Linked DNA regions of Schizosaccharomyces pombe. Changing the gene in region 1 together with any one later gene gives a genetic interaction. Each region holds a gene or a part of one and is shown in the gene's direction. Other genes may lie near its edges.

What was found. A genetic interaction does not mean that the proteins touch.
Region 2: of orb6 (region 1) and skb1, changing one enhances a phenotype caused by changing the other (phenotypic enhancement), as found in Schizosaccharomyces pombe (one study listed by BioGRID).
Region 3: of orb6 (region 1) and cdc7, a mutation in one rescues a mutant of the other (synthetic rescue), as found in Schizosaccharomyces pombe (one study listed by BioGRID).

Annotation. Positions count from the first base shown.
Region 1 is NC_003424.3:1,006,049-1,010,881, forward strand, and holds orb6 (serine/threonine protein kinase Orb6), read left to right. Parts: upstream 1-2,214; 5' UTR 2,215-2,390; coding exon 2,391-2,533; intron 2,534-2,800; coding exon 2,801-2,975; intron 2,976-3,020; coding exon 3,021-4,112; 3' UTR 4,113-4,270; downstream 4,271-4,833. Other genes in the region: gamma-glutamyl phosphate reductase Pro1, read left to right, coding at 346-1,701; dnf1 (P-type ATPase), read right to left, coding at 4,592-4,833. UniProt on the Schizosaccharomyces pombe protein: Interacts with pak1/shk1 and coordinates cell morphogenesis with the cell cycle. It is essential for maintenance of cell polarity and is involved in mitotic control.
Region 2 is NC_003423.3:2,275,553-2,280,317, forward strand, and holds skb1 (protein arginine N-methyltransferase Skb1), read left to right. Parts: upstream 1-1,702; 5' UTR 1,703-1,722; coding exon 1,723-1,912; exon of another isoform or gene 1,913-1,961; coding exon 1,962-3,460; exon of another isoform or gene 3,461-3,506; coding exon 3,507-3,695; 3' UTR 3,696-4,072; downstream 4,073-4,765. Other genes in the region: SPOM_SPBC16H5.12C (uncharacterized protein), read left to right, coding at 1-1,155; ATP-dependent RNA helicase Prp43, read left to right, coding at 4,211-4,765. UniProt on the Schizosaccharomyces pombe protein: S-adenosyl-L-methionine-dependent protein-arginine N-methyltransferase that can catalyze both the mono- and symmetric (type II) dimethylation of the guanidino nitrogens of arginine residues in target proteins.
Region 3 is NC_003423.3:3,221,658-3,228,589, reverse strand, and holds cdc7 (serine/threonine protein kinase SIN pathway Cdc7), read left to right. Parts: upstream 1-2,084; 5' UTR 2,085-2,159; coding exon 2,160-2,186; exon of another isoform or gene 2,187-2,238; coding exon 2,239-2,373; exon of another isoform or gene 2,374-2,414; coding exon 2,415-2,444; exon of another isoform or gene 2,445-2,493; coding exon 2,494-2,558; exon of another isoform or gene 2,559-2,605; coding exon 2,606-2,859; intron 2,860-2,909; coding exon 2,910-3,371; intron 3,372-3,411; coding exon 3,412-3,653; intron 3,654-3,721; coding exon 3,722-3,785; intron 3,786-3,822; coding exon 3,823-4,175; intron 4,176-4,216; coding exon 4,217-4,351; intron 4,352-4,387; coding exon 4,388-5,809; 3' UTR 5,810-6,239; downstream 6,240-6,932. Other genes in the region: serine/threonine protein kinase Ppk24, read left to right, coding at 303-1,236, 1,319-1,770; Ras1-Scd pathway protein Ral2, read left to right, coding at 6,409-6,932. UniProt on the Schizosaccharomyces pombe protein: Protein kinase essential for cell division. Plays a key role in initiation of septum formation and cytokinesis.

The DNA of each region.
Region 1 (4,833 bases):
GTAAGGCTACTATATATAGTAACGGAAAAACAAAAACTGAAAATATAACACTAACTGTTCTTGAGGTTGCAAAATATTTTTAGTTAACTGCAGAAGTACTCTCACTTTCCATGATTTCGTATCTTTCAGAAATCTTAGTTATGCTTAATGTAAAGTAACAATGCTTGATTTTGTTACTTGAAGGGTGTTAAATAAATCACGAACTTGCATTATTCATACATTAGAAAAAACAACCAAAATACTACAAAAAGTAGTCTTTTTGAGCTAGCCATTCTAAGAATAAGAATTCGCTTGATTTAAATCTCCCAATTGCCTCTACTCAAAGTTGTATAAGTATTGTTTAGCATGTCTCTTGAAGAGAATGTAAAGGAAGCGAAAAACGCTTTTAACATTTTACAGACATTATCAGTGGAAGACCGTGATGATGCATTGGATAAAATAGTTGAAGAACTGCGCATAAAAAAGTCAGAGGTTCTAGCTGCAAATGCTGAAGATATGAAAGCAGCTAAGCTCTTGGCTGAATCAGGAAAACTAAGTTCATCGATGGTTAAAAGATTGGATCTGTCTTCATCTGATAAATACGATTCCATGGTACAGGGTGTTTTAGATGTTAAAAGTTTGCCTGATCCCCTTGGTCGTGTTACTTATGCTCGTAGTCTTGACGATGGTTTGGACCTTTATAAAGTCTCTTGCCCTGTAGGTTTATTGCTAGTCATTTTTGAAGCTAGACCTGAAGTAATCATTAATATTACTTCCCTGGCTATCAAATCTGGTAATGCTGTTGTACTTAAAGGAGGCACGGAATCAGCAAAGTCTTTCGCTGCACTTTCTAATGTTGTTCGCTCTGCCTTGGGCAAAAGTAAGGTTCCACAGGCTGCTGTGCAGCTTGTTCAGAGTCGCGAGGAGGTATCACAATTATTAAAATTGGATGAGTACATAGATTTGGTTATTCCCCGCGGCAGCACTAATCTTGTACGCCATATAAAAGATAACACAAAAATTCCTGTTTTAGGTCATGCTGCAGGACTATGCTCCATGTACGTCCATGAGGATGCTGATATGGAATTGGCTAGTAAACTTGTTCTGGATGGAAAAACTGATTATCCAGCAGCATGTAATGCAATTGAAACTTTGTTAATTAACGAAGCTGTTTTATCTTCTCATCTTCCTAAAATTGCTGAAACTTTAACTGAAGCAAAAGTTACATTAAAATGTGATCCCGCTTCTCTTAAGGTTTTAAAGGATATGCCAAAAGTTAGTGCTCTAGTTGAACCATCTGTCGATCAAGATTACAACACTGAATTCTCTGATTTGATTCTTGCTATTAAGACTGTACCTTCCTTACAGTCCGCAATGCAGCATATAAATACACATGGTTCTAAACACACGGATTGCATTATCACTTCTAGTGAAGCAGCTGCTAACAGATTCATGGCTGGAATTGATGCTTCTGGTGTGTATTGGAATGCTTCAACCAGATTTGCCGATGGTTTTCGTTATGGTTACGGTACCGAAGTTGGCATCAGCACCAACAAAATTCATGCTCGAGGACCAATGGGTCTTGATGGGTTAACTATTTACAAGTACCAACTTAGAGGAAATGGTCAAGTTGCAAGTAGTTATGGAGTTGGACCTGGCAAACGCGCATTTAAACATACCCCTATTAATATAGACAATATTTCTCAGGTTTCGAAAAAATAAACACAAAAAAGATTTGAAAATTATGTGAAATTGTCAACGTTTTGGCTAGCTGCATTTTGGATACAAATCGGTTAGGCTTTTTTTGTTTACTTGTTTGTCTATAATATTTAAATGGGAGTTTCAATAATGTGAAGTTATTAAATGAAGAGTAAACACCAAATTAAATAGATAACTATTCCTGTAGAGTTCGATCCACCACCTTTAGTTTTTATTACACAAATATTTTTATGGTGAAGAACGAATTGATGTCTCCGTCCGTCTTTTTTGACTATTCATTTCAATTCAGATTCTAAAATCTTCGTAAGCTAAGATTCTTGGCTTCAGTTAGTAGCGTCGTAATATTGAACAGGGAGGGTTAGGAAATGCGCGGAGCTTATCGCAAGCGATCGTTGAAGTTATATAACAAACTGCAGAAGTACTTGCTTTTCCAGTATCGCAGTTTAACATATTTTTATCGGATTATACCTTAGCTGGCAGTAGTCCTATAATTAAAAAAGCATAATAGGACTTGTCATTTACCATATCCGATTTATCACTGTCTCATTTCTGTTTTGCATGTCTTGTTAATTCATGTTTTAAGCGATTGAATTTCAATCTTTTAACAATTTCTTTTTGTTAATTAATTCGTTGACCTTGTAGTTGATTCTAATTAGTGTAAAAATTCCATTTATTGCAACATTTCTTTCAATATGGATAAGAATGATTACTTACACTTTGAACGGAACCCTTCATTATTTCCGAAATCAACTTTAGACAAAGTCCAAAAGACAAAGAAATATATTGAACATTATTACAAGGTGGCAGTTGATCATGCTGTAGAGCGCAACCAAAGGTACGAGTAGCATTACTATTCAGGGTTCTAGCATTGTTTCACATTCCTCAATTAGTATTCCCATCTTATACGTTGATCGGATAAGTATCAAAGACGATGCTTTTATTAATTCTTTCTCCGTTCTCAACTTCGCGTGTTGCAGTAAATGCATAATCTCGAATGTTTATAAAATCTTAGACAGCTTACTCATCTTGTTTCGAAAATGTTAATTAATAATGCTAGCTTCCGTTTAATTTACTTTTAGGTATAAATACTAATTCTCTTTAGACGTATCAATTTGGAGCAACGATTAGCAACCGAAAGGGGTTCTGAGGAGAGAAAGAATAGGCAGTTAAGAGCATCTGGTGAAAAAGAGTCTCAATTTCTTCGATTTCGTCGTACACGGCTTTCTTTAGAAGATTTTTCTACCATCAAAGTTATTGGGAAAGGTGCATTTGGCGAGGTACGTTTGCATAATTGTTTATGTTTTTGGTATCTAATTAAATAGGTTCGGTTGGTTCAGAAACTCGATACGGGTAAAATCTATGCCATGAAATCTTTGCTTAAAACTGAAATGTTCAAACGTGACCAGCTGGCTCATGTCAAAGCAGAACGCGACTTATTAGTTGAATCTGACTCCCCATGGGTGGTGTCATTGTATTATGCTTTTCAAGATTCACTGTATCTTTACTTGATTATGGAGTTTTTACCAGGCGGTGATTTGATGACCATGCTAATAAATTATGATACTTTTTCAGAAGACGTTACTCGCTTCTACATGGCTGAGTGCGTTTTGGCTATAGCTGATGTTCATCGAATGGGTTATATTCATCGGGATATAAAACCGGATAACATACTGATTGACCGGGATGGCCATATAAAACTTTCTGATTTCGGACTTTCCACTGGTTTTTACAAGCAAGATCAGAGTGCCTCTTACATGAAACCTCGCACAGGAAATACTGTCAAACGTGGTCAAATGGTAGATGCTATCTGGCTTACAATGTCTTCCAAGGACAAAATGGCTACTTGGAAAAAGAACCGTAGGGTGATGGCCTATAGCACTGTGGGTACTCCTGATTATATCGCTCCAGAAATTTTCTTGCAACAAGGGTATGGTCAAGATTGTGATTGGTGGAGTTTAGGCGCTATCATGTTCGAGTGCTTAATTGGATGGCCTCCCTTTTGCAGTGAAAACTCTCATGAAACTTATCGAAAAATCATCAATTGGCGTGAGACTCTGACTTTCCCAAATGATATACATTTAAGCATAGAAGCTCGTGATTTGATGGACCGACTTATGACAGATTCAGAACACAGATTAGGTCGTGGCGGTGCTATTGAAATAATGCAACATCCTTTCTTTACTGGAATCGATTGGGATCATATACGAGAAACTGCAGCTCCATTTATTCCGAATTTGAAATCTATTACCGATACACATTATTTCCCTGTTGATGAGCTTGAACAAGTTCCTGAACAACCTGTCACACAACAACCTGCTTCTGTTGACCCTCAGACGTTGGAACAAACCAATCTGGCATTCCTTGGGTACACTTACAAAAAATTCAATTATTTAACGATGAAAGGAGCATTGTAAGACTTCTGCAAGAAACTCCATAGCTACTTTGTTCATTGTCCTTTGAGCATCTAACTATTGTTATCGAATTTTTTTTATCGTTAATTCATGTTTACCTTCTTTTACATTATTTTAGCATAACTAATAATATTACCAATTACTTTTTTTTAATGTTGTCCCTACTGATAAAATCTTACATGCACTTCTGTAAATATTAAATTCGTTGCATAAGAATTCCAAATTAATGCATAGATTTTATTAGGGAAAAGATAAAAAAGAGTGAGTAAAAAACATGTATTAATAAGTACAACAGGATGTTAACGCCAAGAAAACCAACCAAAATAGTAAACAATAATTATGAAATGCGGATCATGACCCATAACTAATAGACAATTTCTAATTGAACAGTGGGAACCCCAGAATTTTAACATTTTACCAGTAAACTGACTATCGTCTAAAGAAAGTTTCATATACTAGAATTGGATTAATGAATTAAATGCCTAATCTCGGCTTTTTAAATATTGTTCAATTTCATCGACAGATGGTGCATTGGCTTGTAAAAACTCACCGCTCTCTTGCTCAAACCGAGAGCGGACAAAGGCATCGTTTTCCATTTCCACAAATATGTCGGTGTCCGTAGGACGTAAAGTCCTTCGTAACATTTGGGCAACAATATCAATTGTTAAAGCACAAACCATTACAAAAAGCATAGTAAGCCACCATGAAGGATTTTTGCCAAAAT
Region 2 (4,765 bases), on another chromosome or scaffold:
GCAACTAACTCATATGCTATGAATAACATGCTTCCCGGCACTGCTTTTAAAAACCTATGGAACTTCAATTTATTAGATGCTTCCTTTGGATGGACTGTTTTTGTCGTCGAAAATGGGCATGTTCAAGTGGAAAGCAAATCTCATGGCTTTAATTTAGGCTATCGTCGCATGGCTTCACGTCGTAACGAAAATTATGCATCTCACATTCCACGCTCAACTTCGGAAAATACCGGTACCTATTATTACGCTAACAATAGGTTGGTGGAATCTCAAGCACAGTTTACCAAGAACAGAGAAGCTACGGCTACACCAACCGAAGAAGAACAGATTGAAGGGTACGATCAGGAACATACTGATGAGCTAGGAATGTCAAGAGCGAATACTACAGAAGAGTCGGCTGAGACTCATGAAGTAATCGAAGAGAAGTCGGGACCACCTGCTGCCGAGGAAGAACCCATTTCTGGCGTAGCAGAGAAGCCTAGTCCTAATGAAGAAGAACAACCAGCAATTGGAGGGAAAGAGGAAGTTGACGTTGAAGAGGTGACTAAGGGTACTGGAAATCTCGAGCTAGGTGAGACGACTACAGAGGTTACCATACTTGAACAAGAGAATGCTGCAAATGTTACAAGATCTCAAGCACAAGAAGGTAGAAGAACTGATATGCAGAAGGGCAACGATCGTGAATTCCGTCAATATAGTGGTGAGCAGCGTTATGAACGTTGTGGATTTCATATTACCCCTTGCAATTCTGAAGAGGAAGCCCGTTCTTACTTTAAGGACGGGACAGACAGCCTGATTACGAATATTCAAATTCGTACTTCACTCAATCGTTACAAAAGTCCCCAAGCTCCTCAAAACGTAAACCCCACTAACTATGCATATGTATTTGTTGAAAACCAGAATGCTGTTTCAAAGGCCCTTGGAAGCATCAAAGTTCCAGAAGGTGTGCGGGTGAATATCATGCGTGATGATTCGTACTATCGTCAAAATAGAGGATGGTATCGAAATAACCGGATGGAGGGACATGGAACTGGAATGCGTACCAATCGTGGACGTGGACGAGGCGGCCGAATGAACAGAATGCAGCATCCTCGTCCATTACAAAGCGGTGGAAGTGTCAATAAACAAAGCGCTGAACCTACTACCCATGGTTAATGATGAATATTTTTTGCACTGTTTTCAATGCTGTTTTAGAACTGATTTTTATACCATCTTTTCACCTTTTTACTGATGTTAATGCAAAAGTTTACCTCATGAATGATGAAGTTTTCATGAAATTTATCTGACGCACTCATTTACCTCAATAACTGCGAAGCCAAAATAACTGATATGACTCTTTTAAGATATCTTTTTCGAATTCGGTTGTCATTGACAAAAGGGTGCTTACTTTACTTTCTTTCATATCGACTTTGTTTAGAAATAATAAAGTGATTTTTGACAAGATTGATTCGCAGAAAACTATATAGTAAAAATAATTAATTACTTTATGCTAGAATAGCAGTTATTAGCCTTTTCTTCTTAGAAAAGATGTAAGTTTTAATAGATCAAATTCATTAATTAAATAACCAAGTTGAAATTTAAAACACTCACAAACAATAAGCTAGCTACTCAACTAAACAATTTTTTTTTGTTTTTGCAACACAAGGTCCCAACCCTTACCGTATGTTATTGCGGGATGGCCGTATTCCACAGTACAGTATTTACCCATTGCCAGTTCCGCCGATGAATTCTAAAACGCCCACTCTAGGAATAGTTTGTTCAGAGGGGACCATTTCCTTGTCTTTGGAAGAGGGTTTTGAGTTTGTTGGAGTTCCGTTAAGTGGTGAAGGTTTAAAGCTACGAGTTGAAGCTCTAGCTCCGTCAGAGCGTTTGCAGGAATTCCTCGACGATGAAGTAGCTTATCACCCTGAGGGTATGTTTCAAATTTGAAAGAAAATTTATATTAACCAATTTTACTATAGAAAATGTGCACAAGGTGGTCGGTTTATCCTCAGCTTGGCTGGAGTTAGATTCTGAAGACACACTAATCGCTGATCGATCAGAAGAAGTGTTATTAAAGGAAGCATCATATGCTTCTTATTGTGGGTTATCTTCAATCATCCTAAATGGTCCAACTTCACCAATGAACGTTATGCGTTATGCGAGAGCTGTATCTTCTGCTTTAAACTCAACAATGAATCTAAAATTCTTGGTACAATTGGCAATCGAAAGTGGTCATGAAGACTATTTTGAGACATGGAAAATGTGGGACACAATTCGCTCAGCATGTGGTTATCACCCTAGATTGAAGGTGGCCTTAGAGCTACCTCCCGCTTGTTCACCCCCAATCGAGCTAGTAAATCGATGGTACGCGGAACCGATAGAGATGATTACTATGTCATGTATGGCTTTCGTTCCTAATCCCAACGGCTATCCAGTACTTGGTCGTAAGTTGAGGGCTATTTATGCTTTATATCTACGTCTCAATCCTCGAATTTTACTTTGGGATAATGACGCACCCGAGAAAATAGGTGATTCCCCCGACTACAGCATATATATGAAGCACCTCTTTGATTCACAGCCTCCAGCTCCACTTGTAGAAGATCTCGCGGATTCTTATAAAGACTATCTGCAAGTTCCTCTTCAACCATTGAGCTACAATTTGGAAAACATTACTTATGAAATATTTGAGCGAGATCCCGTTAAGTACGCCCAGTATGAGCAAGCAATTTTTTCTGCGTTGATGGATAGAGACGAATCTTCTGTCACGCGAATTGCCGTTGTGGGTGCGGGAAGAGGTCCATTAGTCGACTGTGCTTTACGTGCGGCAATTTCTTCATCTAGAACGGTTGATATGATCGCCCTTGAGAAAAATCCTAACGCTTTTTCCATGCTATTGATGAGAAACCGCCAGGATTGGGCTGGCAAAGTTACTCTAGTATTTGGAGATATGAGAACATGGAATCCTGATTATAAAATTGACATCCTTGTTAGTGAACTTTTGGGTAGTATGGGAGACAATGAACTTAGTCCGGAGTGTCTAGATGGTGTACAACATGTGCTTGATGAAGAAACTGGGATATGCATTCCATCTTCTTACATCTCCTATGTTACTCCTATTATGTCTCCTAAGCTATGGTCTGAAGCTCGTAATATGAATGACCCAAATGCTTTTGAAAGACAGTACGTGGTTTTAATGAACTCATTTGACTTTTTGGCTGCAGATGATGAGTTCCGTTTTCAGTCCCTTTGGTCCTTCCATCACCCAAACAAAGATAGTGAGGTTTATACTAAAAACTTGCATAACAAACGTTTTGCTAGTGTTCGTTTTCAGGCCTCTAGTCCTGGAATCCTTCACGGTTTTGCAGGATATTTTGAAGCTACATTATATAAGGATATTTCTCTTTCAATTATGCCAGCAACTATGGAAGCGAAGTCTCCTGACATGTTTTCATGGTTCCCTATTTATATGCCCATTAAGGTAAGTTACTATATTTTACGTTGCACTGTATACTAATATTTCCTAGAAACCCATGTACGTCCCAGAAAACAGCCAATTGGAATTTCACATGTGGCGATTGACGGACGGTATGCGGGTTTGGTTTGAGTGGTGTGCCAATGCCTATCTGGTGTTGCGGAATGGAAGTCAAATCAAGTTGTCTTCTACGGAGGTCCACAACATTTCCGGAAAAGCGTTCTCGTGTAATATGTATTAAAAATTAATAGTCCTTCTTTTACATTATTGTTTATGGTTTAAAACGGGTCTTCAAACCATTTTTTTGGAGTTTTGATTATAAAAATTTTTTGGATTTAGTTAAATCTGAATTTAACAAAAGTCGATTAGTTTTAGGATAGCTGTTACAATCAAGATTTTGCTGAGAAAGAAGGAGTAATGCTCCTATACTTATTGTCTTAAACGATTTGCCAGAATTTTAACTATTGTTCTTAAACATTCCTTTTTACACAATTAATTAACAGGCAAATTCATTCAACTGAAATACCCTGTCATTTGCTTACTATACTAGTTAATTAATTTTCATTAATGTATTATATTAGTCCGAACTTGAAAATTAACAACGCATTGCGTTATGCCACTCAATTTTATATAACGAATGTTAAGATAGATGGTTTGTTGGAAAATTCTTTAACTGCTTGTAGTACGGAGTATGCACTGTGTTCTTCGCCATTTACAGAATTGTGGGAAGGGTTTATATAAGGGCGATTTTCGACTATGGAACCAGCTCAGAAGAAACTAAGGCAAGAGTCAAAGAACCCGTATTTGGCACACTTAAACAATGGTGATGATTCTGAGGAAGTTGTTTCTTCGAAAGGGTTGACGCGACGTGCTACGACTGTTGCACAAGCAGCTAAGGCTGAAGAAGGACCAAACAATTTTTTTAATGATAAACCTTTTAGTCAAAATTATTTTAAGATTTTGGAAACTCGAAGAGAGCTTCCTGTATACCAGCAAAGAGAAGAATTTCTCAAAATTTATCACGAGAATCAAATTATTGTTTTCGTTGGTGAAACTGGTTCTGGTAAAACAACACAAATTCCTCAGTTTGTTCTTTATGATGAATTGCCTCATTTAACAAATACACAAATTGCATGTACTCAACCACGTCGTGTTGCAGCTATGTCCGTTGCAAAACGTGTCGCTGACGAAATGGACGTTGACTTGGGCGAGGAAGTTGGTTACAACATTCGTTTTGAAGACTGTAGTGGACCTAACACTCTGTTAAAATATATGACAGATGGTATGCTTTTGCGTGAAGCCATGACAGAC
Region 3 (6,932 bases), on another chromosome or scaffold:
GAATCAATCCAATGCTCATCATTACGTCTTTCAGGTTGAGTCGTAGATGCGTAAACGGTCGTTCATCGATTTAGGCATTCGTGAGCATATGATTTTGGAAATTTCGTTTCTTTCAAAGACGTTATGATTACAACTATGCAATTTTGAGGTTGCTAACACGTAACTCTTTATCTAAACAGAATAAATGATGAGGTTGTTCTGAAAACACTCTTTTTTTAGTAAGAAAATAAAGAAGAAGTACATAAAAAATCAATCAATTTGAAGTCGTAACTAGGCTTCTTAGCTTCAGCGGCTTGTCACTAATGACTAATTATCCTTTTTTTCGCCAGGGGACAATTTTCGTGGACAATTCAGCAATTCAAAGGAATTCAGAGAATAAGAATAGTCTTTCGATTGAAAATATTTTTGGGAGATTTCCTAAAGAGTTCTTCCAATTTTTTTCAATAAATGTTTCTAAATCAACAACCAAGAAGTCTTCCGTCGTTATAAAGCCAAGTACAATTACTGCACCATGGTTAGAAAATGAATACTTAGACAGTAATACTAGCTTACTTTCCGTTCATTCAATTCAACCTTCGTTTATTGGAATGTCTGACTTCGCAATTGGATTAGATCCTTCACTGAAGCGTATATTACCCGAAATAAGATTTCGCTTAGACTTTCAGCATCTAAAATCAATAGCTAAAGGGGCCACCTCTACAATCAAGGTTGTAACTCACAGAGATAAAATCACCGACGCAAAGATATACTATGCTGCCAAAGTATATCGGAAAACGAAAACATCGCATAAAAAAAGATTGAATACAATGGTTTATTTTTTAAGGGAATGGTCAATCCAACCAAAATTGGACCATCCTAATATTCTGAAAGTTATCTGCCCTTGTGTGACTTTGACAAGCGTATTTAATAAATCCGCTGGGTTTTGTTTGGTTCAAGAGTACTGTCCTCAAGGCGATTTATTTAAGCAAATTGAAGAAAAAGTTTTGACCTTAGAAGACAAATGTTGTTATCTAAAGCAAATTCTTCAAGCAGTAGCTTACTTGCAATCTCAACGTATTGCGCACCGAGATTTAAAGCCGGAAAACATCTTAATCGGAAGGGATGGATTGTTAAAGCTCACCGATTTTGGTACCAGCGAAATTGTGGGTAATCCTGGTGATAACGAATCCATTCGTTTCGTATCGGGTGCTGTTGGAAGTTTGGCATATCTAGCACCAGAAGCATTTCATGAAAATGGTAAGTCTTATGTGTATAAATTGTGTAGCAAGACGAGCTCTATCCTATTTCAAAAACGACGTACTAATAGTTCAATTGATAGAATATTGTGGTCTTTTAGCAGATAGGTGGTCATGTGGTATTTTGCTTAAAGTTCTGTTTACTGGATACTTTCCATTTAAAACTTCCGTGAAAACTGATCTTTACTACTCAAAGTATATGTCAATCCTTACAGATACTTGTGGTATTTCTTCAACTGATGAATCCAGTTTCCAAACCGAAGTCATTAAACAAATACCTACATTGCAGCCCCTCAGATATATACCTGAAGGTGCTAAGAAGATTATACTAAGTTTACTGAATCCTGATTCCCAGAATCGGCCGTCGTTGGATAGTATTTTAGGTACTGCATGGGTACGGAAACTGGATTGTTGCAGTAACTTCTCTACCGATCATGAAAATAAGAGTTTACAGGAAGTTGATTTTGATGCTTCTAAACCCATTACAAGGAAAAGTTTGATTCCTCGGATTCATAACCATCAGACACTTGTTTAACGTAGTTTAAATCACTGTCTTTTCTACTTTACTTTCCAAGCTAAAATGAACTCATTCTTCCTATGTACATGGTGTTTCCACTGACATTACTTAACCAACGGATTAGTTCCATCCTTGCCAATATTTTTTATATGTCTGTATAATACGCTTTTTCTTTTATACGAGAATCTTTGTTTATTAATGATTTTATAAATAGCTTAATTATTACTATTTACTTCTTTTGAGTTTATAACATGCAAGTTCAGGTACCGTACTAAATGTGTATGTACACTATAAAGTCCTTACTTCTTCAAACGCAGCAAATGCTACATCGTAAACAAAACCAAATTGTCTTTTCATTCAAAATTACAAATAAATTCAATTTTTAATTTGTAACTTATTCAATAGTCATGCACAATATCCAAGCATCTTCCATCGTATGCTAGTATTTAATGTTAATAGCCATTGGATTTTCAATAACATATTCAGACTCTTGGGGATTGCTTGGGCAAGGGTGCCTTCGGTGCAGTATACCGTGGTCTAAATATAAAGAATGGAGAAACGGTGGCTGTAAAAAAAGTTAAACTATCCAAAATGCTAAAATCTGATCTTTCCGTCATTAAGGTATGAAGGGATCTCAACTATTTTTCTCTAACAATTTTTAGATGGAGATTGATTTGCTTAAAAATTTGGACGTATGTTACTCATTCGTTTATAATGGTCGCCAAATACTAAACGTGGTAGCATCCAAATATTGTTAAATATAGGGGATCTTATCAGACGAACGATTCTCTATGCATTATTCTGGAGTACGTGATTTTCTTTAAAAAATTGTTTTCAAGTTAACGATATATAGATATTGCGAAAACGGATCGTTGCGCTCAATTTGTAAAAACTTTGGAAAGATTCCAGAAAACCTAGTGGCCTTATATACGTTTCAAGTATTACAAGGGCTACTTTATCTACATAATCAGGGTGTTATCCATCGTGATATTAAGGGTGCCAATATACTTACTACTAAAGATGGCACTATCAAGTTAGCAGATTTCGGGGTTGCGACGAAAATTAATGCTTTAGAGGATCATAGTGTTGTTGGAAGCCCCTATTGGAGTAAGCCTTTTCTAAGCGTATAGTTATAACATTACTAACAATTTATATAGTGGCTCCCGAGGTTATAGAGCTTGTAGGCGCCACAACAGCCTCAGATATTTGGAGTGTTGGCTGCACAGTTATTGAACTGTTAGATGGAAATCCTCCCTATTATGATTTAGATCCTACGTCCGCTCTTTTTCGGATGGTGAAAGATGAACATCCTCCCTTGCCTTCAAATATTTCTTCGGCTGCTAAAAGTTTTTTAATGCAATGTTTCCAAAAGGACCCAAATTTACGAATTAAGACCAGAAAACTTCTTAAACATCCTTGGGTGATAATGAACCAAACCTCCTCTAAATTTTCTGACGCTATAGACGAGGTTCAAAAATATAATGAAAGAGTGAAAGAAAGCACTTTGACAGCTATTATCGAGCCTACTTCCAACAGAATCAATCCGACTCTTCATTCTGGCAGGCAGTCTTCTTATCACATGCCTGAGTCTCCAAAAACACCAATTGCCGAGTCCCCAGGTAGCTTTATGATACTTTTTAACTACTCTAACATTTTTAGATCATGATAACTGGGACAATGAATTTCAAGGAACCCTTAAAATCAGTGACGATGTTTTAAAGAAATCTGAGCATTTTATGGATTTTTGCAGTAACTTTAAAGGAAAAAATAATTCCAGCTCCATAACATCATCCCCTTCGAAGTCTCGCCATGCTTTTAATTCAGATCAAATCTCTGAATCAAACAACTTTAATGCATCACCGTTGAGTACTCCTCTCAAAGCCCAATTTGATCCCTCTAAGGTAAATAATGCAGCTCGATTTTCTAGAGCTTTTAATGATTTTAAATAAATAATTAACCTTTTTTTTAGCCCGCTCTCAACCGGTCAATAGATCATCAAAAAACTCCGCAACATAAAAGATACTTGTCAACTGGTAAGTATCTGATACTAACATATAACTAATTATCTAGAGTTTAAAGAGAATATACCAGACGGAATTGAAAAATTTGTCGAGACACCCAGAGATAGTGAATTTACTGATATTTTCCCTACATCCTCAATCAAAGTTCAAGGATTGAGAAAGGAGACTGGACTGGGGACTTTGGTTTTAAACAAATGTTATGGCTCGTGGAATAATGAAGAAAATGAGGATGGGGAAGAATCGGATATCTTTGACTCTATTGAAACAAACTTAGAAAACTTGGATATTGAAAACAACATTGCTTTAGATAAGAGAACGCATCTAGCTTCCTTACTTTCCAGTCTGTTAGGCTCACTACGTGACAAGAATATCGGATCGAAGGATACAACTGTTTCGCAAATAGTAAGTGCATATTTTTATATTGATAATTTAACTGACAATAGGCTTCTATACTTAGTGAAGATCTTTCTCTAAAACGAGAGATAATACAAGCGCATGGTATCCTTCCACTTTTAGAGACATTGCGCGAAATAAAAACGCCTGATGTTCAATTGCTGTTATTAAAGCTCATTAACACTGTAAGGATATTTAATGCGTGATTTTACTAACGTTAGGTTGCATTCGATGATCACACAACTTTACAAAAAGTTTGCTTTGCTGGAGGTTTACCGCTTATGTTGTCATTCTCTAATCGTGAACACTCTTTTGAGTTTAGATATGAAAGTGCTATCTTTATTCAACAGATGTATAGAACTTCTGCTTTGACATTACAAATGTTTTTGAGCTCAAATGGTCTGAATTCGCTTTTATTATTTATTAAAGAGGACTATGGAACGAACCGTGACTTTGTTTTTGTTGGCGTAGAAGGAATATGGAAATTACTGAGACAACAGGATTACATTCCAAAAAATGATATCTGTACGATGGTTGTAAATGATTCACTAGAGCCCTTGACCAAAGCCATGCTGAAAGCTTTGGCTACTGACGATGATTCTTCAAGAATGTCATTAACACGTATATGTGAAATTTTATTGGCTTTATCTCAGGCTGATAATTATGTTAAGGAATCACTTCTTTGCGAAAGTGCTCTTCGAAGGATATTGCGTATTCTGCTTTATCTGCCGCATTCTGATATGGCGATTACCTTACAGTTTTTCAAGCAACTTTCAATGGTTCCTTCATCTTTGTCGCTTCTTAGGAAAGTTCATATAATACCTCTTTTGACACATATTCTCGGTGACAGCAAAATTGAGAAAGGACGAAAAGAAATTAGAAGCGAAGCTTTGGCCGCTTTATTCAATGTGTGTAAGCTAGATAAGAAATCGCAAGAAGAGGCTGTTATTTCTGGTGCTATTCCATTATTGCAAGAGGTGATTATTAAAGACAGACTGTTTAAGGAGTTTGCGCTGCCGATATTATTAGCTTTGCCACAGGCTGGTCCAGTGTCGAGAATTTATCTTTGGCAAAATAAATGCTTAGATTTTTTTCTCTCGTTATTATCAGATCTTAATTGGCAATCTGCGGTATTTGATACGATCGCATCTTGGTTGCAGTTTGAACTCCGTGAAGTACAACGTGTTTTGGCAGAGAAGAGAAACGTACAATTAGTGTTAAAGGTGTTCTGTATTTCTCAATCAGCTTCCTCAAACAGAATGCTAGATACTTTGGGCAGGGTTTGTCAAATTTCCCCAAGATTGGCAGCCTCTTATGGCCAGCCTATAATATTCCAGAAATTTAAAGAAAAGTTAACTCATAAGGGGACCAAGCCGATTGTGGTCCTAAACATATTTCAAATTATGAAATCAATGTGTGAAGCTAGTAGCCAAAGTGTTGCTTATATTGCGCATTGTGGTTTACCAGATGTGGTTGCAAATTTGAACCAAACAAGTGATTCTGTGCTTGTTAAAGAACTAGCAAAAGACCTGCTGAAATACCTGAAGGTACCACAGGGTCCCATCAATGAGCACAAATCCCCCATTTCGAAACCGCATATGCCTCCACCTAGATGGCAACCAAAGCAGCCATTAACGCAGTGAACACTATTAAACGCATTTCCCAGTGCACGACTATATTACTTGTTTATGATATTTCTGTATTTATGGCTTAATGATTAATAAATAAGGTTGGGATTATGGAATCAATATTTTTTAAACGAAAGTTTTGCTAATTTTAATATTAATATATTATCATTCCATGTGTAAGTACGTTACCAGTTGTGTTTATACCTGAAATACAATCTAATTGAGTACCGCAATGAAGACTATTTATTTACCGAATCTATATTGATGAATCTTAGAAACGTTAAGAGAAAGGTTTATAATATGCTTATCACAGTGTATATTTATATTTATTCATTCAAGTGCTTCGAATTTTAAAATCTAGGTGTGCATAAAAGTTAACTTCACTATATCAGTTAACGCTACGATAGTGCAATACAGGAAGAAATATGCACTAAAACAAAAGGACAACAATGATTTTTATGCTTCTCATTTTTGGCTATTAATTTGCTGCTTTGTTTATTGCATAAATCTTTTTTGACTGTTTGCATTTCAGTAATTATTAATTTTTATGTGGAAGGAAAAATCACTTTTTTGATATTTCTTATTAACGTCGAGTTGCTAAACAGTTTATATCTATGTCAGAAGTAAAAAGGAATATATCTTTGAGAAATTCAACAAACATTTTTACTTCTACATTTAGTTTATCTTCAAATAATGTCCCAAAACCGCTGATTGGGGAGTCAGTTATAAAATATGGAGACGAGGCTTTTGTATATGGAGGACGCGATGCATTAAATGCGCAGCTTGTTAATGATATGTATGTAGTTGATCTTAACACTTGTTCCTGGAAGCAAGTTGAATATCAAGGAAATCAAAAGCCGATACCACGGTATTTCCATTCAGGGGATTTATGGAATAACAAATTAATATTCTTTGGTGGTATGGGATTTAATGATGATACAAAATGTCTTTATGTTCTTAACGACATCGACATATATGATATTGAGACTAAGCAATGGTCTCATATACCTGGCATGATAACAGAGAATCAGACAAATGACGATGCTAAAGAAGTCAATGGATCTGATGTTGATGAAAAAAGCAAACACTTATATCCATCAGCACGTTACGGACATTTGCATTGCGTGTTAGATCATTA